Diceros bicornis minor: one gene and its partners. Each later gene encodes a partner of the first gene's protein in a complex. Links are inferred from orthologs where the notes say so. Each region holds a gene or a part of one and is shown on either strand. Other genes may lie near its edges.

The links. The genes of interacting proteins can lie anywhere in the genome.
Region 2: B9D2 (region 1) and TMEM107 share a complex: the UniProt entries of both Homo sapiens proteins name them as parts of the tectonic-like complex. The link is inferred for Diceros bicornis minor from reciprocal best matches to the Homo sapiens genes B9D2 and TMEM107.
Region 3: B9D2 (region 1) and TMEM67 share a complex: the UniProt entries of both Homo sapiens proteins name them as parts of the tectonic-like complex. The link is inferred for Diceros bicornis minor from reciprocal best matches to the Homo sapiens genes B9D2 and TMEM67.

Annotation. Positions count from the first base shown.
Region 1 is NC_080773.1:15,358,653-15,365,903, forward strand, and holds the start of B9D2 (B9 domain-containing protein 2), read right to left. Parts: upstream 3,104-7,251; 5' UTR 2,966-3,103; exon of another isoform or gene 2,901-2,965; intron 2,483-2,900; 5' UTR 2,479-2,482; coding exon 2,391-2,478; intron 1-2,390. UniProt on the Homo sapiens protein: Component of the tectonic-like complex, a complex localized at the transition zone of primary cilia and acting as a barrier that prevents diffusion of transmembrane proteins between the cilia and plasma membranes.
Region 2 is NC_080757.1:10,232,826-10,239,665, reverse strand, and holds TMEM107 (transmembrane protein 107), read right to left. Parts: upstream 2,780-6,840; 5' UTR 2,610-2,779; coding exon 2,523-2,609; intron 2,347-2,522; coding exon 2,279-2,346; intron 2,177-2,278; coding exon 2,076-2,176; intron 1,331-2,075; coding exon 1,234-1,330; intron 1,007-1,233; coding exon 937-1,006; 3' UTR 539-936; downstream 1-538. UniProt on the Homo sapiens protein: Plays a role in cilia formation and embryonic patterning. Requires for normal Sonic hedgehog (Shh) signaling in the neural tube and acts in combination with GLI2 and GLI3 to pattern ventral and intermediate neuronal cell types.
Region 3 is NC_080760.1:13,098,371-13,105,436, reverse strand, and holds the start of TMEM67 (meckelin), read right to left. Parts: upstream 3,039-7,066; coding exon 2,813-3,038; intron 2,799-2,812; exon of another isoform or gene 2,700-2,798; intron 1,215-2,699; coding exon 1,126-1,214; intron 96-1,125; coding exon 2-95; intron 1-1. UniProt on the Homo sapiens protein: Required for ciliary structure and function. Part of the tectonic-like complex which is required for tissue-specific ciliogenesis and may regulate ciliary membrane composition.

The DNA of each region.
Region 1 (7,251 bases):
TGAGAAGATTACATGAGCTGATACACGCTAAGCCCTTAGCACAGTCCTGGGGCATGGTAAGTGCTAGATAAGTGTTGGATATCATCTTATTACTGTTCTCACCCCACCTGGTGCAAGGACTAAGACTGGGCTAAGGGTGCTCTCCCCAGGCACATGGAGAAAGGTGCATGATAACAGCGATCCCACTGAGGCTGATAATAATAGCAAAAATGCGCTGGGTGCTTACTCAATGCCAGACGCTGTGCTAAGCGCTTTAGGAATGAATTCATTTAATCTGCCCTCTGGGACTCTTAATCCCCACCCTGGCCCCCAGTTTACCCACTCTCCTCCACAGCCCACAAGGCCTGTGTAGCCTGGCCTGTGCCCCCTTCCTCAACTCAGCTCCCATCACTCTCCCCAGCCCTCACCACCCTTGGGCCTCACTGGTCCTATTTTTGTTCCTGTCCTCGGGCCTTTGCACTGGCTGTTCCCTCTGCCAAGAAAGCTCTGCTCCTGGATGTCCCCATGCCTGGCTTTTTTTTTCATCCTTCAGGAACCAGCTCAAGTGCTGCTTTCGCAGAGGGGTTCTCCCTCACCCCCCTTTCCCCAAACTAGTCTCCATCACATCATCTCTTCCCATTTCTTCCTAGTGCTTACCACGATCTGTCATCACTGTGCCCGTTTCTTTATCTGCTGATTTATTTTCTGTCTCCCCTACTGTGAGCCCCAGGACAGCAGGGATCTTGTACACTGCTAGGATCCCCTGGACCTCCAACCCAGATCTTGGTATACAGAAGGTGCTCAACAAATGTTTGTTGGACAAATAAGTGATCCTAGGAGGCAGGTGCTAATCCAATCCTCATTTTACAGGTAAAGAAACCGACTCTAAGAAGGAAAGTCACTTGGCCATTCATTCCATGAACATTCATTGAACACCTACTGTGTGCCAAGCACTGTTCTCCACGTTGGGGATACAGCAGGACCACACACCTAGGTCCCACAGTGGAGCTGGATTCAAACTGAGCTCTGTCTGACTGCAGAGTTCAATCCCTTTATCCGACTGCCCCTGAGCTCTCTGCTAGATTAACTACCTCGCAAGAGCCCCCTGAAATAATAAAAATCACGTTAGTTACTGCTCCCTTCTGGGCCATGCAAGGAAAGTGCCAGGCCCTGAGTCTAGTTCTTCACATGCGAGACTTCCCAACATCCCTATGAAGGACAAACGTTCCCACTTTACAGAAGAGGAAACGGGGGCTCCAAGACGGGACAGCTGGACTGGAACCCAAGTCTGACTGGGCTCAGCTGGAGGACCCCAAATTCCCAGGCAATCTCAACCAGCACCCTACCCACCAGTGAAATCACCAAGGACCCGGGGCCTGAAGACATGATAATGGCAATAGCCACACTCGTAGCACGGGCATGTTCCTGTGCCAAGCAGCATACCTGGGCTTTAAAAATAAGTCCCACCCAATTGTTACAGGAGCCAGACACTCACTGAGCACTTACTAAGCCAGGCCCTCTTCTAAGTGCTGGTGATGTCCACTTAGTCCTCACAACAACCCCATGAGGTAAGTATTGTGATTATTCCTATAGTACAGACAGGGAAATTGAGGCAAAGACAATGCCCAAGGTCACATAATTAATAAGCCACAGCTGGTTTTGAACCCAGGCAGTCTGTGCTCTTAACCTCAACACTCTGCTGCCTCTTAGCTGCTGTTAGCTTCATTATCAGACAAGGAAGGGAAGGCTCAGGGCAGTCAAGTCCAAAGTCCCCCAATGAATAGGTTCGTATTTGAGCCCAGATCTGGCAGCCTATGGCCCTAACCATTATGCTGCACCACCATGCTATACTGCCTTTGATGGGGAGGCATGAAAATTGGAGCCTCTGAGGTCCCTCCAGGGGCTGTGTGGATGGACTTGTATGACAGCCAGAATGGGGTTCCTACATTCCCACAGAGAATTATGAATACAGGAGGGTGGCCTCTCCTGTGTAAATCTGGGATGAAAACTTCCATTTTACAGTAAGAACTCAATAAAGTAGAGGCTGTTAAGCAAAGAATTAAGATGCCAGAGGGACCCAAGGCACCCCTAAGACAGGGAGCAAAGTCCAAACAGTGGGGTTAGGGCTGTCTACTGTTTTGAGCATTGGAAGTGTGTGTGTGGGGGGGTCTAGCCTGTAGTCCCCATCTTTAGGGGCTGTGTGTTCAGAGAGTGGGAGTCAGAGCCCCCAGAGATGGGATAGGAAGGAATAAGAAGGGAGCCTGAGAATCACGTGGACAGTGTGGTCAGGCTAGGAGTCCTGAGAGCCAATGGAAGATGCAGAGCAGGGAATGGTCAGGGCATCAAGGAAGGAGGGTGGAGCATCTAGGCTAGGGGGCTCTTGGTGGGGAAATGAACCAGGCCCGGAATACCTGTGTGGACGCCCCACTTGCAGAAGAGGCTACTTTCCGAGAAACCTGTGGCACCCAAGATCTGCCCGATCACGTGCACCTCAGCCATGGCCCTGAGAGGGGAAAGATATAATCACAGCCCTCTGAGATACGGGTATTATTATGTCCACCTGACAGATGGGAAAACTGAGCCCCACGGAGTAAGGGGCTGTACTAGGATTCCAAGCTAGTTTCGTCAAACCACTGAGGCAGCAGTCTTAACCATGATCCTAACTGCCTCGCTAGGAGAGCCCCGGATAAATATGGGGAGCTGGGCTGAGAAGCTGGCGTCTAACTTTGCCTGCCTTAAAATAACCTTTTCCTCTTGCTCATTACGACGGAAAGCCCCGCCCCAGGGGCCTACGGCTCCGCCCACAAGCACAGAAGCCCCGCCCCCTCGCGTCAGATCGCCCAAGCTCCATGAGGCGCATGCGTCTTAAGTGCATGGCCGCCTTAGCCCCGCCTCTAAGCCCGCGCATGCGTTATTCCTACCTCAGAGCGCTTAACGGTTAGGAGGGGCGAAAGCGGCAGTGGGGCTTGGAGTTCATGGGCCTGACCTGTCCCTCTCTCCGCGGGCGCTGAATTCCCAGGCCTGGTTCGCCCCTCTCCCAGGACTTTCCCAGCAGTGAGAGATCTGAAGCAGTGAGATCCCTCCGAGCCGCGCCCGCCTCCGGGCTCCCTGCTTGTTGCTGGGGCAACAGCAGCCTCTTCCCCTGGCCTTGCACCCGCCCTGCGCGTCGCTAATTGGCCCTAGCCGTCCTCGAGGGTGGGGCTAAGCTATGATGGACGTTTTCTCTCCCCCGCTGTCTCCATTTTGGGAAAAGTGTCTCTCCAGCCACGACCCACGGTTCCGCCTTTTGGGGCGTGGCCGGGCAGCTGCCATCTTGAGTGTGGCTGAGGAAGTTTGAGCGCCAACTGTTTCTTCCAGTAACCCTCTTTACAAAATAAGCGAAGACGTCGATGCCCTATGCTCCCCTAAACTCTCTCCCAACCGGACCACAAATCAGAGACTTGAGCCAGGAACAAGAGGGACTCTTTCTCAGGTCATTGTGTGCATCCCCCTGCCTCATAACTGGAAAAAAGATCCTTCCTCTTTCAGAGAGACTCGAGAAGTTGGGGAGGGGGGTTTCCTTCCTTTTTTAGAGTTCCCCCAGGCTCCTCAAGGACTGATAAATCCAACTTCCTTCTCAGAAATACTGCCCAGTTCAGTTACTGCTGGCTCTGAGCAAGGAGGCGGGTGTGGGGGCAGGGGTATGAGAAATGAGGAACTGCGGCCCCTTTTTCTGCAGAAAATCCGGTTCTTGAAGACTAGACTCTGCCAGTGTCTTATCTTGTGGCCTTGCACGCCTTTGTGTCTCCATTATCTCATCCATGTAATGGGCGCAAGGAGACTGTCAGCGGCCCTGATACGTTCTGATTTCCTGAGCAGGGCCTTTCCCGCCCCCTAAGTGCAGTTGACCCTTAGTTACTCCTCCAGCCCAGACCAGGAGTCCAAAGGGAACTTTTTCTCCTACTTTTTAGCAAAACGGGACCACAAAAGTTCGAGTCACCAGCTCAAAGTTATAGGGAGGGGGCAACATTTCAATAGTATAATATTTATATAAATAATTTAATAGGATAATATTTCACTAATAGATATATTTGAAAGCTACCATTTATTGAGTGCTTTCTCTGCGACAGCCCCTGTAAACTGATCGTTTTGCATGCATGGTCTCCTTTAATCCTTGCAGGGTAGGTAACATTATTGGCTTTATTTAAGATGAAGAAATTGAGGCAAAATCTTTTGTCTTAGCCAAATCGATCACAGTTCTGTCTGACTCTTTAAACCTTGCTTTAAACCTTGTGTTCTCAACCTTTCTGCTATCCTGCCTCTCTTGGATACACGTCTCCCAGTGTCAAAGGAATATGGAAGTTGTGCCTGGGTGTCCTCCTAGACTCCATCACTTCCCACATGCGACAAGTCATCAAGGCCTGTCAATGCTCCTTCTTAAATATTTTTTCTTCAATTGGTTTCTTCCCCACTGGGTGATATTAGTGATTAAGAAAAAGGTTCCCAGGGGCTGGCCCTGTGGCGTAGCGGTTAAGTGCACGCACTCCGCTGCAGCGGCCTGGGGTTGGGATCCTGGCACTGACGCACCGCTTGTCAGGCCACGCTGTGGCGGCATCCCACATAAAGTGGAGGAAGATGGTCACAGATGTTAGCCCAGGGCCATTCTTCCTCAGCAAAAAGAGGAGGATTGGCAGATGTTAGCTCAGGGCCAATCTTCCTCACACACAAAAAAAGAAAATGGTTCCCAAGTCAATTGCCTGGATTTAAGTCTCGGCTCGGCCCCTTCTATGTGACCTTTAGCCTCTTTGTGCCTCAGTTTCCTCATCTGTAATGTGAGGTTGAATGATAGGACCCACCTTGTTGGACTGTTGTCAGGATTTGATGAGCTAATGGATGAAGCTGTTTTGAAATAATGTCCACAGCTTCTTTGACACCCCTTCTTTCAATAGGTGGAGACTAATTCCTCTACCATCCAGTATGGGCTGCACTTAGTAACTTGCTTGTAACAAATAGAGTGTGACAAAAGTGTTGCTGGGTGCCTTTTTTTGTTTTTTGTGAGCAAGATCAGCCGTGAGCTAACATCCATGCCAATCCTCCTCGTTTTTTTTTTTTTTTTTTTGGCTGAGGAAGACTGGCCCTGAGCTAACATCCGTGCCCATCTTCCTCCACTTTATATGGGATGCTGCCACAGCATGGCCTGACAAGTGGTACATGGGTGCGCATCCGGGATCTGAACCTGGGCCACCAGCAGCAGAGTGCGCACACTTAACCGCTATGCCACAGCGCCGGCCCTGCTGGGTAACTTCTGAGACTGGGCCACAAAAGGCATTGAGGCTTCCTCCTTCCTCTTTTTCTTGGATCACATCACTGAGGGAGGTCCACCACCATGTTGTGATGATGTTACTGCGCAAAGGGCATGATCTGCTTGCCACAAGACAAAAGCCAATTGTCAAGAGGCAAGATGGTGGCAGAGAAAGGGCATTTATTAAGCAATAAGCTAGCAAATTGGAAGATGGGGGACTAGCGTCCTAAAGAACCATCTTAAGGGGAGCACAGCATCTTGAGGCAGTTCTGTAGGCCAGTGGGTTATGCAGGAGGGGGTTAGGAATGTTAGCCCTCTGGTGTTAGACTGGGAGTTGCCACACCAGATCTTTCCATTGTCATTGATGATGGCTATCAGCATAGACTCTCTGCCCAGGGGGTCATCACATTACTTATCACAGCTGACAGGTACATACTCAAGCAGGGGCCATAAAATCTACAGAGCATGTACATCGCCTGAAGGGTGCATATCCAGTTGGGTCAGTGAGTCAGAGGTCATTGAGAATTACAGTATGGTTTCTTTTCTACAATGTGGCTTCCCTTATGTCAATCTTGTGTTGAGACGGTATCAATGGCGGTGAAGCAGGCACTTGAGAGACCCAAATGGGGAAGAACTGAGGCCTCCTGCCAGCAACCAGCACCATGTGAGTGACCTATCTTGGAAGCAGATCTTCTAACCCCAGTCAAGTCTTCAGATGACTATATATAGCTATGGCCAACATGCTGACTGTAACTTCGTGAGATGTCCGGAGCCAGAACCACCCAGCTAAGCTGTTGCCAGATTCCTGACTGACAGAAACCATGTCAGATGATATACGTTTGTTGTTTTAAGCCACTAAGTTTTGGGGGATAATTTGTTACGCAGCAAAAGATAGCTAATACGAGTATGTAATGAATTTAGGACAGTGCCTGGCACATAGGAAGCACCATAAATATTTGCTATTATTGATGGCTTTTACTGTTGTTGTTATTAGTGAAATGGCATATTTTACATATTATTATTATTATTACTATTTTTGGTGAGGAAGATTGTCCCTGAGCTAACATCTGTGCCAGTCTTCCTCTACTTTGTACATGGCTTGATGAGCAGTGTGTAGATCCACACCCAGGATCTGAACCCCTGAACTCTAGGCCGCCAGAGCAGAGTGCATGAACTTAACCACTATGCCAGCAGGCCAGCCCCCACATATTCTTTTTTTTACAAGAATCACACTGAATACTTATTTATTTACTTTTTACTTTTTATTTTTAAATTTTTCAAAAATGTGGTTGGAGCTGGCCCAGTGGCACAGTGGTTAAGTTCATGCACTCTGCTTCAGCAGCCCAGGGTTCGCAGGTTCAGATCCCCAGTGTGGACCTAGGCACTGCATATCAAGCCATGCTGTGGCGCCGTCCCATGTACAAAATAGAGGAAGATGAGCACAGATGTTAGCTCATGGCCAATCTCCCTCACCGAAAAGAAAAAAATGTGGTAAAATACACATAAAATTTACCATCTTAGCCATTTTTAATTGTACAGCTCAGTGGCATTAAGTACATTCGCATAATTGTGCAACCAATCTCTAGAACTCTTTTCATCTTGCAAAACTGAAACTCTGTAACCATTAAACAAAAACTCCCCATTCCCCCCTCCCTTCCGTCCCTGGTAACCACCCTTCTACTTTCTGTCTCTATGAATTTGACTACTCTAGGTAACTCATATAAGTAGAATCGTTCAATATTTGTCCTTTTATGACTGGCTTATTTCATTGAGCATAATGTCCTCAAGGATCATCCATGTTGTACCACATGTCAGAATTCCCTTGCTTTGTAAAGCTGAATAATATTCCACTGTATATATACACCCTGTTTTTTTAATCCATTCACCTGTTGATGGACACTTGGGTTGCTTCCACCTTTTGGCTGTTGTGAATAGTGCTGCTGTGAACGTGGGTGTACACATATCTCTTGAAGACCCTGCTGTCAGTTCTT
Region 2 (6,840 bases), on another chromosome or scaffold:
GACACTCAGCTTCTACCCAAAACAGCAACGACAAAATTGACGAGTAACAAACAACATTGGAAAATAGTTGAGTCAAAGTAATCCATTACTGATAAAAGCTCAACACACATCTCATGTTTAAGCAAATCAAGTCTAACCATCAGTACAAAAATAAAACAAGGCGATCGTCAGGAAAAATCAGATAGGAGTAATCAGGGTGTTGCAAGTCCTGATCACGCAGAGACGCTAATCACGAATCATGCGCACTCCAATCATCATGTTCTAATCTGTCCCCCAAAAAGGGGGAACAGGTAAGGATTATCCTACCTGACGATAACCAACTTTCGCTAGGGCATTCCGTACTCAGGGAAAAAGATTCCGCTAACAACTACGGTGACTATATAATGCGTTAGCCTGAGCAACCTGTTTATTTAAGCTCCCCCACTTCTGTTGGAACATTTATTTGCAGATCTTTTAAAATAAATTTTTTTTCCATTTGGCTGCCAAAAGGGATAAATTAATTCCTCCCAGAATGCTCCATTCACTCACGAGCTTGGAGTCCTAGTCGTACGCGCCACTTATTTACATATCTCCGCCCACCCCCTTCGCCAGACAGCTACCGTAATAACCAAAATAAAAGCGATACCTATTATCTTACAGTCTCCAAAGCTGGAAAACAGCCTTCCGTTTCTCCAGTTGTTTGGCCATCCCGATTCTCCTTTGAAATTTTTATAAGTCTTGATCTTACTCTAAAATATATTTTATTACAAAGAGCTAAATTAAACTTTGATAAGCCTAGACGCGAGAGATAATTACCTTAACACTACTAACACTGACATCTTCCACCAAATGCAGTTTCAGTGGGAGCGCTGAAGCCTACGCCTGCCTTCTTCCAGGAACGGTGAGTGGTGCCTTGCTCCTCCAGCCTTCATCTCTACGTTCCCATCATGAAGGTGATCAGAAAGGTTTCTTTTTCAGCCCAAAGACGCTGACGAATAATGCCATTTCAGTGACAGCTGGGAGGGCGCTGCGAAAGGCAGGTGGTGGATTCAGGGCCCCTTCCAATAAAAATACCCAAATCCCCAAACCAGAGACCCCACTCCCAAAGCCTAGGTGGGGCGGGACTTGAAAAGACCACAGGATGTTGAGTGGATCTGGTATTTCACATATGGAGTAAAGCGCTGGTGGGGGAAACTTTCAGATTTAGAGTAAACCTTCCACCCCCCCATCTCCAAACATTGGACGCTACTGTACCTGCAGAAGACAAAAATGTACCAGTACGTGGTGCACTCCCAACGCTCGAATATGAAAAAGGATAGGGCCACAGACGCACTACAGTGAGCCCCCATGGCTTGAGAACGCACCAGAGTCAAGGAAAGCCTATGGATCGATAGATACTGATGGGCCAGAAAAGGCCAGTGGTGGGGCTGGCATCTGCACTCAGGTTCACCTCTTGCTTCCTCCTCACATTGCAAAGGTCAGAGCCGGTAGCCCTGCCTTCTGAGTTTTAGGACAGCCACGTGAGCAGAGGCCATAGGTGAGCCTGCACAGCTGAGACCCAGGCTACTCCCACCCCATATCTAAAGGCCAGGCTGGACCTTTCCGGTGAGGTAGGAGTAGGCTCCTCCTCTCCCCCAGGCCACACAGGAATGCTCACAGTGACTTGATACGCTCTGCTGGAACTACCCTCCAGCATCCGGGTCCTCCTGGTCCACAATTCAAGTGTCAAGAGCCTTCCCTGATCCATCTTTCTCACTTCCTCTGTTTCTTCTGAGTTCCCATAATGTTTTATATCTTTACACACTCCCACAGCACAGTGCTTATCGCACTGAATTACAGATGGCTGTGTCTGCCTCTTCCTCAAGGCAGAAAACTGTGTTTTACTCCCATTTTTGGATCTCCCGTGCCTGGTGCATAGCAGGGGCAAATGACTAAAGATTGTATTAAATACTCTCCATTGCCTAAAGAGATCTCTCAACTGGGGAGACTGTCCACTAGGGCAGACACTATTGTGCCAGAAAAGCCTAGTTATGTGGCTGAAGGTAGTTGTGATGGAAACGGACAGTGTGGGAAAGGTGCGCAGGCAGAAAGGATACAGATGAGGCTCTGGGTGCTGTTGAACATGGAAACTCCTGAGAAGAAGCCGGCCAGCTCCACTGCAAAGAGGCCCAGGGTGACAGAGAGCGCTGCCACCAGCCTGCAGAGAGGAAAGGGGTTGGTTCAGGCCTTCTGGACTTCTTCTAAGACCCCTCCACTCCCACCACTGCTTAATTCTGACCACCCCGCCCCAAGTGCTCACTGAATGTCCTGCTTCTCGTACTCCTCGGGAGTGAACGTGAGAGGCAGGCAGGCCTGGATGTTGCTGTCCTGGGGAGCAGGGCAGAGAGGAAGAGAAGTGAAAAAGGGGCGGGCTGCGGGGCAGGCCTGGGGGCAGCGAGGCACGGGAGGACCCGACCAGGTAAGGCCCTGGGAAAGAAGCGGGGTTGGGTTGGGACCACCCCGAGGCGGGAATGGGGGCGGGAGAGGGTGGCCGTGGGTCTTACCCGGGACCAGAATAAGGTGATGACGACCACCAGATGCGCCAGGAGCGTCAGGAACCGAGAGGGCACGAGCCCTGAGATCCGGCCCATGGCCCCCAGGGGCAGAGGCACCGTCTGGAGCAGAAGCCGAGGTCTCAAGGGGCTGGAAGTTTAGGGATGGCCACTCCTGAAGTCTCGCAGGCTAGCAGACAAAAACTCGACGTACGCCCCCTTCCCGCTCGCGCTGGCACCGCCCAGTTGCCTCGGCAACCACGTAAGCGGGCGCCGCGGCCGGATCTCTGAAAATCTCGCGAGAGCAGTAAATTCTCCAGCCGCCGTGGACCTCTTGGAGAGCGTAGGTTTGGGGTCCGCAGCGGGTGGTCCCTGCCGGGTGCCTACCGCGGGCCGGCTCCCATCGCGCAGCCGAGCCGTCTGCACGTGAGAGTGCGCGATGTGGCGCAGCCCCGCACCGCCGAACCTGCCCACGCAGGGCGAGCGAAAGGACACCCGCCCTGCCCTAGCCCACTACACCCCTTCCTCCCCGGATGCCCACGCCAGGAGCGGCCCGGCCGCAGACCCCCGCTACGTTGCCCAGGATGACCCTCCGCGGAAGAGTTGCTCACCAGAGACGATGTCACCGCCCCGCCGGGCTTAGGGCACCGCCATGCCCAAGGCATGGACACTCTCTCCTTTTCTCTCCTCCGCATCCCTTTAGCTTCCCACTGCCCTGGGCCAGAGGAGACGAAGGGAACTAAACGTGGAGAGATGGATGTCCCTAGATGGTCCAGCTATCACTTATTGTCACGCAGCCCCTTGTTCTCCGAGGACCCCGGACCTGAACCTTCCTTGATTCTGATTCCCCCCACCTGACTCCCCAGACAACTGACCTTTGGGCCTCAAAGGGGATCCCTGCAGAACGGAAAGTTCTCGGCCGCGTTTATCGCTCACAGTCACAGGAGTCGCGGGGACCCCCCGTCCACTTAGGAGAAGATCATCTTTCTCCCTACTCTCCATCTCAGTGCTTTTAGGACGGTCTAAAGTACAAGACCAAGGGGCATTTCTGATTTCTTGATTCATTCACTCATTCGTTCATTCATTCAACAGATATTTATTGACCAGCTGGTAAGTGCCAGGCACTGTGCTGGGCTCTTGTTCTTGACAGAAGTCTCTACCTTCGTGGGGTTTATATTCTAGTCAGGGAGATCGACAGCAAACATGCAAACAATACGTCTGCATGGTAATAGGTGCCATAAATAAAATTTTAAAAGGGAAACACTAGAATAATATGATCAAGAAAAAGCTGTTTGAAGTGGGTCATTTGCCCTAAAACTTTGTTTTAGGAAATTTGGTCAAAAGTGAGAGGAAATGCATTTCTCTCTTCCAGGCCCTCAGTGTAATAAATGGATTTCCTTTTTATAAACCAGTGGGTGAAAAAATTCAGAATTCAAAGAGATAGTCAAAAGATGTTTCCTCAAGGTCATGAAAGACAAAGACTGAAGAACTCTTCCAGATTAAGGGAGATTAAGATGTGACAAAGTTGACACGAGAAATTTAATGTGTGATCCTAGTGGATCTTGGATTAGGGAAAAAAAACTTTTACTTTAAAGAATATTAGTAGAACAATTGGCAAAATTTGAATAAGGTCTCTAGCTTAGATAATAGTATTTGTTATCAGTGTTAACTTCCTGATTTTTGATATTCTAATGCCTTTATGGATGAGAACGTCCTTGTTAGAAAATACACACTGAAGTGTTTTGGGGTAAAGGGGCATTATGTCTGCAATTTACTCTCAAATGGTTTAGAAAAAATATATGCGTCTGTAGAGATAGAGAGACAATGATAAAGCAAAGACAATGATGTGCCTTTTCAGTGAATGCACAGGGAAATTCTTTGTATTATTTTTGCTACTTTTCTAGAAATAAAATTATTTTAAAATAAAAAGTGTTAAATGATAAGCCTTTTAAAGTTTTCCTTCCAGGTCTTATACAATATTATCATTGAGACATTAAATTGCTGTATAAAAAGAAGGAATGATTTCTAGGATTGAGTGTCCCTAAATGTTGACCTCCTATATATTAACACTATGTAATAACATGTTCATATAAAACCGCCTCTTTAGAGGGCAGCACAGCTTTTTCCTCACAATGGAGACAATGTGATCACCAAAACTCATAAAATAAAAATTGCAATCATTTAGACTTCTCAGAGGAATTATTTTTATAAAGTGTGAGGTTCAGCAAAGTCTCTTTATTCTCCACTCAAAAAATATTTGATGATAATCAAATATTACCCACACTGGTTTCTCAGCTCTCAGCTGTGTAGGGGAGGTTCTCTCTTTAACTGGACTGTTTCAAAGTTCTGAAAATATTTTCAAACTTCCCCCATCTCAGGAGGGACGGGCAAACCCATCAAGTACGGTGGGCCCAACTGCTTCTCTCCCTTGAGGTGACCCTCGTCTTCATTAATGATGTGACAGTGATGACACTGAAATACAATGAGAGGTGGGCTTCCCGTGCTCTCCAACATGGAAATCACAGCGTAGCAAGCGTGGGGACATTCTTAGTACACAGAGAAGATGCAAGGACTGAAGGGCTCCTCATACTCTTCTTCTCTCTGCCTGTAACTTACATGCCTTTTCTCCTGAGAATGGAAAGCCCAGGTCTTCAGGGCCAAGCTCCCCCAGCGACAGTTTATCAAGTCTAACTGTTCACAGGTGAAGGAAGCACTGTCATAGAGTGCAAGTGAGGAAAGCCCGTGACCTTGCTTTTGCAAGACTTCCCAAGGTCCTTGGAACAAATAGAAGAGAAAGAGTCAGCCATGTGGAGATCTGGGGAAAGAGCATTCCAGGCAGAGAAACAGCAAGTGCAAAGGTCCTTACGTGAGGACAAGCCCAGTGTGTTTGTTGAAAGAACAGGAAGCTAGTGTGTCTGAAGTGTGGTAATGGAAGGGGAAGAAGAGATCGGGGTGAGGTGGGATGGGTAGGCAAGGGTCAGATCATGTTGGGCCTTGCAGCCATGGGCAGGGACATGGTCGGATTTGTATTCTAGAAGATGACTTTGGTTGCAACATGGAGAATAGATTTTAAGCAGAAGGCTAGTAAAGAAGCCATCGAGTTCTCCAGGAAGGACAGGATGAAATCAGGCCAGGATGGAATCAAGAAACAGGAGCAAAGTGGAAGGAATCAAGAGATAGTTAGAAATAGGTGAAGGCAGTATAAATTTATGTTTTTAAAAAAAAGAGATAGAAGATAAGAAGGTCTGGACATGGGGCTGTGGGTGGGCGAGAAAAAGAGAAGGGTCTAGGATAACTGTTAGATTTTGGGCTCCAGCAGCCGGAAGTTTGGGGCATTCTGCTTATAGTAGGCTTCCTGCCTAAGGGACCTACTAGATAGTAAGAACTGGGTAGTCACATTTCACATTGTGAGTTAATAAACAACAGGCATTTAGGTCTGTTCTGTCATTTTCTGTGACCTTGGTTCACCGCAGCCTGCTCTACAGAGACGTCTCACAAAAGTGAGTTTTGGAGCCACCCTGTGGCCATAGGAAGCACTGCCAGTGACCAGGTGTCCCCTAGCGGGCCACTTGCTTCAGGGCTGGAACCCACATGTCCTAACATTTGAACTGGTCATAAAACAACTTAGAAAAAAAAATGTTTATCATGGAAAAATTCAAACATGTAAAAATAAAGAAAATACTATAATGAACCCCTTTGAAGCCTACCATTCTCCTTCAACAATTACCAACACATGGCCAACCTTGTTTCAGCTATACTCCTTCCTCCTAGGCCCACCAGGTTATTTTGAAGCAAATCTCAGACATCACAAAATAGTTCAAATTGTCCAATCTCATACATATTATTTTTTCACTGTTTGTCCCTCCCCGTTCCTTGTTTTCTTGCAATTTATCTGTTGAAGACACTGGGATGTTTTGGGCTGTGTACTAGTTGTGTCGTTTAACATGTTCCCCTGCGACCAGTATTTCCTGTAAACTGGTTGTTAGACCTAGTGGTTGATCAGCCTCATGTTCAATTTTCTGATAAAAATACATCATGGTACTTCTCATTCCATCACATCAGGATGCACATAATGCCTGCTTGTCCCTATTTTTCCGTTGTTAAATCTGAGCAGCAGGTTCAGATGTAGTCAGACTGAGGCAACCATTATAAAGTTCGCCATCAGTTTTTCACCTCCTGGTTTATTGATCATCACCGCCTAGCTCCATTATTTCATGAAAGGTTGAGAACTGGGACGTCCTAATTCTATCATTCCTTCTGCATTTATCACCTGGGCACCTGAGGCCATGCCCTCATCAACTCGTTGTTTACCATGAGATACAGGTCACAC
Region 3 (7,066 bases), on another chromosome or scaffold:
CCTAAAATATGGCCGGTGGGACAGTGGCATTTGCCTTCTGTAGTTAAACCACTAGGGCAGGAAATGCAGTTCCAGCCATCTTGAGTAACACCTTTCTAAATTTAAAAAAAAAAAATTATTTTCTCCTTAACTGATTATATAAGTTCAAAAAGCCACAATAGTGTATAATTTGTAGTTAATATTCAAATAAATCATAAACATATGAGCCACATAAAAATTTCCTGGATAGCCAATTTGTACTTATATTTCCAAATGGAGCTATACATTATGACTATGTACTGACGACTATTAACTCTGGCCAATAATTCTTTCTTCTTCATGATTTTCAGTTCAAATGAGTCCTTACTTTCATAATTAATATTGTCATTGAGTTTTTCCATTTATAAAGATAAAACAACAAAATTCAACAAGATTTTATCAATAGATAGCCAATTAATAGGTTAGTCTTATTTGTTCTAAAATAATTATTCTAATTTTTAAAAATTCAAATACATTAGCTTTTAAAAATTGTTATGATTCAAAATGGGTGAATTTTATGGTATATAAATTATATGTAAATAAAGTTGTTAAAATTAAATTATGAGGATATTTCCTCCCATCCATTAATAGCTTGTATTAATAAAGGTTTTTGATAAAATATGACATCATTCAAAATGGGCTTATTATATTATATTGTTTAGGAAAAACCTGGGGAAAATACAGTAATTATAGTACAAACATGGATGTAACCAAAATTAACGGAGAACAATGGCAATAACAAAACAATGCCACAAATTATTTTAAATTTTGGTTGAAAAGACTGAATATGTTCATAATTAAATTCACTCATCTACTTTTCTTTATAACTGAGTTACTCTAAGAGGAAAAATAGACACAAATTTTCAAAGCTTTTTGGTTTTCTGGATTCCAGATTTTAAAAACCAAAGCAATACATTTCTGTTTTTTCTAAGTTTGCATAAAATTTCACTTATCTCCCAAAATCTATTCAAACAAAAACAAAGTCAGCTTAATAATTGTAAAGTTTGTGGGAAAATATTAGAGTACAGCATCTAGTCATAGTTTAAAAAATAAAGACATTTAATTTACTTTTTACAGTAAAATTATTTAAAAATAAATACTCCATACCATGTTTTCTGGGCACTTTTTACAAATAATATCAGGTCCTCCATTATTAGAGATCATCTGAAATCCTGGTAGACACACACATGAAGTTCCTAAAAAGAAAAGAGCCAACTTTGACCTTGGTAAATAAAAATAAAACTCCAAGATAGGGAAACTTGTAATAATTCTTAAGATCTTGAAAAGCAGCATAGTAGTTAAGAGCAAGACTCTGGAGCCAGTACTGCCTTGGTTCAAATGCAGAAACATACTCCTTGGGTTCTAATCTTGATTCTGCTACTTGGTTGCATAACCTTGAACAAGGTACTCAATTTCTCTGTGCCTGGGCTTCCACTTTGGCAAAATGAGGACAACAGTACCTACCTCACAGGGTTAGGATGAGTATTAGTTATGTATGCATATGTATTAGTGACATGTCAGTATGTAAAGGTCTTAGAATACATCTGGCACACAGTAGGCATTGTGCTTGCTACCATAATAACTAGACTATTAAATTACTGGATTAAACTAATAAACTATTGATTTATTGCTATGGGAAATTTTACCTTTCTATTTCACCCAATCATACACATATATTCAATGAATTCAAATTTACTTTGTCAGAACAAAACCGTATTAGGAAAGTTACCTTGATTAGAGTAAAAATCAGTTTTCCTCTGTTTGGACAGACAGTAAACATTATAAGATAATCACTATTCAACTTGCTGGGTAGGTAAGGACGGCATTTTCTAAGGAGGCATTAAGTGGAAACAGCACCCACAGGAATCTATGTAATAGAACGCACATGATATCTGGGTTCATAATGCTTTCTCATTCATATTTTCTCAGCTGCCGAGCCTGACCTGTCCTATACAATGAATTGCATGAGGATATATCACATTTGAAGATGGCAGAAAGTTAATACCACGGGTGACTAAATCAAGATTAAAAACATCTTAGACTTTAGAATACGGGAAAAGTCTTATTCTGAGCAGTGCAGGGAGGAGAACTAGGATCAAATGATGGACGTACCAAGAAAAAAAAATAAGCTTAATCTAAAGAGACTTTAAGAGCAATTAGAAATATTCAACAATAAAAGGGATAAGTCCTAAGGAAATCTATAATGTTAAGGACACACTATAGAGTGGAAATACAAAGTTGGAGACTGAGAGCAGAGAGACACTTCCAGAGTCCCCCAGTCCTAATTTAGGCGACACAGAAGACATTACAACATCATCTGGGCTTCAATTTCCTAATCTGTAAAATGAGATGACTGGACCTGATCATGGTTAAGGTCTCTTCCAGCTCTCAGTTCCTGGGATTTGAAAAGCAAGATGACGGGCTATTCAAGTTCACACGCGCTAATTTGCATTCCCTTCCCAACCTGTCCTGTCTCCCGCTCCTCTGCACCTCAGGTTACTCCTCCATTTCTTTTCTACCTTCGGGGGGCAGCTTTCCAGGTGCCTCTCTAAAGACCCCTCGGACGAGGAATGGGGGACTGGCGACGGCTCACAGGGTTGCGGGCTCGGGATTCCCCAACCTCATCACCGTGCAAGCTGCAATCCTCAAAGGGAACCCTTCTCTCAGGCGCCGGCGGTTACCTTTCCTGAAACATTCTTCCCGCAGATGAAACGGTGTTCCAGCGACGCCGGGGTCTGGGAGCAGCGCCAGGGCGGCAATGTTACTTTCCAGAGCCCACCCCAAACCGTCTCACCTCGGGAGTCCTGCCTCTGGTTGGCTCCACACGAGACACAGGAGAGCGCGGAGATATCGAAGTACTGGTTGTGGCCGCACGTCTCCGGCTGCCGGAAAGGTAAGGAGAAGGTCTGGGCCTGTGAGAGGCGAGGGAGGACCAACACGAGGAGCGCAGTCACAGCCGCGGGGGAAGAGGTGGACCAAGCCTCCATGGTCGCCGCGGTCCCACCGCCGCCCGTCACCATGGTGCAGACGCCGGCGGCGATCAGCCCCATCAGCCCCTGCGGCGAGTCCGCGGAGCCGATTGGACAACTCCCGGCCTGGGGTTCCGGAAGTATCTGCCTGCACTGCCTGGTTGCTAGGTTACCAAAGCCCGGAAGCTGCCTAGTCCGAGAAAGGATGGGTTGGAGGAAAGCTAACCCTGGATCCTGCAGGCGCGACCGGCTGTTTCAAAAGGTTGTTTCAAACTCTGGGACGCGACCCATTAGCGGGACGTGAAATCAATTTAGGAGGTCAAGAAATAGGATACCACAGCAAAGAAAATATCTGATTGTACCACAAAATTAAGAGTATTGTTTCATTAAACCGTTGAATGATGTTTACCTCAGAATTTATCCAGACTGGGTCGTGGTGAAGGAGACATTCCATCAATGTATTTGTCAAAATACATTTGTCAGGGGCCGCCCCGTAGCGCAAGAGGTTAAGTGCGCGCGCTCCGCTGCAACCCGGTTCCGATCCCTGAGTGTGCACGACACACCGCTTGTCAGGCCATGCTGTAGCGGCGTCCCATATAAAGTGGAGGAAGATGGGCACGGATGTTAGCCCAGGGCCAGTCTTCCTCAGCAAAAAGAGGAGGATTGGCAGATGTTAGCTCAGGGCTGATCTTCCTCACAAAAAACAAAACAAACAAAAAATACATTTGTCAAAAATGTGGGGAAAACACCTATTTGAAATATGCAATGCTGGAAGATTGGCTCAAGCACTAAAAAAAAGATCTTCCTGCCAGACCTTTCTTTGTGTTTCTACTTTCCTTGTTTTGAGGACAGGAAATAATGTATATAAAATGAAATAATCTTTACCCTACTTGTTAATAAAGAAGGAACCTAATTTTTTAAATCAAATTTACACATACATGAATTTTGTCTTTCAAAGTAGGCACCCTTGGAGGCTGTTAGCCCCAAAACATTTTAGAATTACCTTCAGAGCCAGTTTATAGATCATAAAAGAAAAAATATATATATATTTTTTTTTTTGTGAGGAAGATGGGCCCCTGAGCTAACATCTGCCAATCCTCCTCTTTTTTTTGCTGAGGAAAACTGGCCCTGGCCTAACATCCATGCCCATCTTCCTCCACTTTATATCGGACGCCGCCACAGCATGGCCTGACAGCAGTGCCTCGTTGCGGGCCTGGGATCCAAACTGGCGAACCCCGGGCCACCGCAGCCGAGTGTGCGCACTTAACCGCTTGCGCCACCAGGCCGGCCCAGAAAAAAATATTTCTTAATATTTAAATCTCACTTCTGTTTTTGTTGTATTTTGTTTGTTTGATTGTTGTTATTTTGTCCTCCTCTCCCCTTCCCAATAAAATCAGCCGGCATAATTTTAAGCCACTTTATTCATCAGTAGTAGCTTGAAATGACTTTTGGCTTTCTCAAAAAAACAAATTTTGGGGCTGGCCTGGTGGCACAAGCAGTTAAGTGCACGTGCTCCGCTGCGGGGGCCCGGGGTTCGCTGGTTCGGATCCCGGGCACGCACTGACGCACCACTTGCCAAGCCATGCTGTGGTGGCATCCCATGTAAAGTAGAGGAAGATGAGCATGGATGTCAGCCCAGGACCAGGCTTCCTCAGCAAAACAAAAGAGGAGGATTGGCAGATGTTAGCTCAGGGCTGATCTTCCTCACCAAAAAAAAAAAAAAAAAAACTGTAAAATAAATTTCCATTAAAAAAACAAATTTTGTAATAAAAATGATAATTTGTCACTATTAAGGAAAATACACACACACACACATAATATTCTCAATGCATGTGGAAAACACATTTAAGGAAGTTACATAACTTTAACCATTAGCTACCATTAGGCCTAGAGTTCCTCATGTGTCCTTCCCCAAAAAAACCAGCATTCACTTAGTCACTAATATCTATGACACAGGAGGTGTATGTTCTGCAAACTCTTCCTTAAAGAGGACTTCTAAAAAATGTTTTTGAGTAATTACCGTGTTGTTGGAGTGACTAATTTGAAGTGGAAACCACTTACCTGAAAACAATTTTGAAAAAACACGTGACTATACAAATGTTAATGGGGACTCAGAAACGGTGTGGTCAGAATAGTTGAGATTAATCTGCAAAAGCTTCCTACAGGCAAATTTTAACTTTAGTCTTCCTTAATGAAGTGCATACTGTTATATGCTCAGTGGAAGGGATTAGGGCAATAATATTTACTCATTGCCTACTATATAATTAAAGCAATAAAAGAGCTCCCATTCATGATGGTCTTCTTTGTGTCCCCCACTAAGCACTGTGCTAGGCACTTAACAGCATTAACCTTAACTCTTCATAATAACCCTTTGAGGGAATACTATCCATTTTTTTGTATCCTTTTACTAAAAAAGAAACTGAGGATCAAAAATGGTACATTTTAGGAAGTGGTGAAACTAGAATCTATCTCCACCTGGCCAACTCCATAACCTGTTATCGTTTCAATCTATTAAGTGGCTTCTTTGTGGAATAGATAGAGAAAAATTTTGGTATATTCTACATGTAGGACAAACCTACTGTCTTTAGTTAACAAGATGATATTGACATAATATACCACAGACAGCTGAATGATGGTTATCTGAGACCTTTGAGTGCTGCATCTAACAAAACTGCCTCAAAGAGCTAAATAGAGATTATTTGTAGCAGAAAGATTAAAATAGACACAGTTAAATTTGAGATAACTGTAGATACTATAGGTTTGTCTGTGTAAATTGCCTACAAGGATAGGAGAAAGAATGTTAGCTAAAGCTGTTAAGCATCAATTGGGACTGTATCATTAGGGATATTTTTGCTACAAGTAATAGAAGATCAGGTAGTTTAACCCAGTTCACAATGGCTTAAACAAAAATAAATATGAGAAGTCTGGAGGTAAGTGGCTGCTGGTGTTCGTTCAATGATGTCAGATAGTCATCTCTGCAGTTCTCTTGGCTTTTCCCTCTTAGTTGCAATATGAATGCCTTACACCAGATATCAAAATTCGGATTTAAGATGAGAAGAAGGAAAAGAGCTGAACTAGAGATGTTGCCTCTGTCTCTTTAATCAGGAAAGCAAATGTTGTCTCTATGCCATGTGTTGTGCTAAACTTCCTCCATGCATCATTTCAGTCTTTTTAACAACCCTATGAATAGGCAGTACGGTTATACCCATTTATCAGGCTTAAAGACATGCCCAGAGTCATCCAGCTGAAATGTGCAAGAGTTATACATAGAAGCGGATGTGACTAGGAGAACATGGTTTAATGTCAGCTTAGGAAGAAGGGTACCAAAAAAGGTGAGAAAGTGGGTTCAAAGAGGATATCAAACGCTTATTGAACACCTAGAATGAGATAGGTACTGTACCATGCCTTACCTACATTATCAAAATTAATCCACTCAACAACCTTATGAAACCTATAGTGTTGTTACCATCTTTTTATAGGTGATTGAATGGAAGCACGTAGAGATTTTTTAAAACCTGCGTCAAAGCACAGCTTGTAATTTACAGACACAAACTTTGAATCATGGTATTTTAACTCTTGGGGCTGCTTAACCACATGCCCCCTAACAGTACAAATGCTGCAAAAAAGTCAAGGAGGCTGAGGATGGAGAAAAAGTGTTTGGATTTGGCAACTAGGTGATCATTAGTTACCTTTTAGAGTGCAGTTTCATTACAGTGGTAGGAGTGGAAGCAAGCCATAGAGCAGTAGTGAGAAAGAACAAGCCCCAGATAGAGGCTACTCTGAGGAACTTGGCATTGAAAGGAAGGCAAAAGAAGGGACTGAGCTAAAAGAATTTTAATTTTTTTTTTTTTTTTTTTTTTTTAGGATAAGGAGAATATAAGTGGAAAGGAAAGGAGTAGTAGAAGAGAGATTCAAAATAAAGAGAGGAATAATTGACTCTCTCTTGAGCTCCTAGGAAGGGGTCAAGGACTAGGATGTAAGAGTGGGAGAAGGACCATCTCAGGGGAGGAGAGTCATTCTTTCACAGATTGGAAGAAAACAGGAAGATGAGTGAATCCATAAAGAAATCCTGGGCTGGG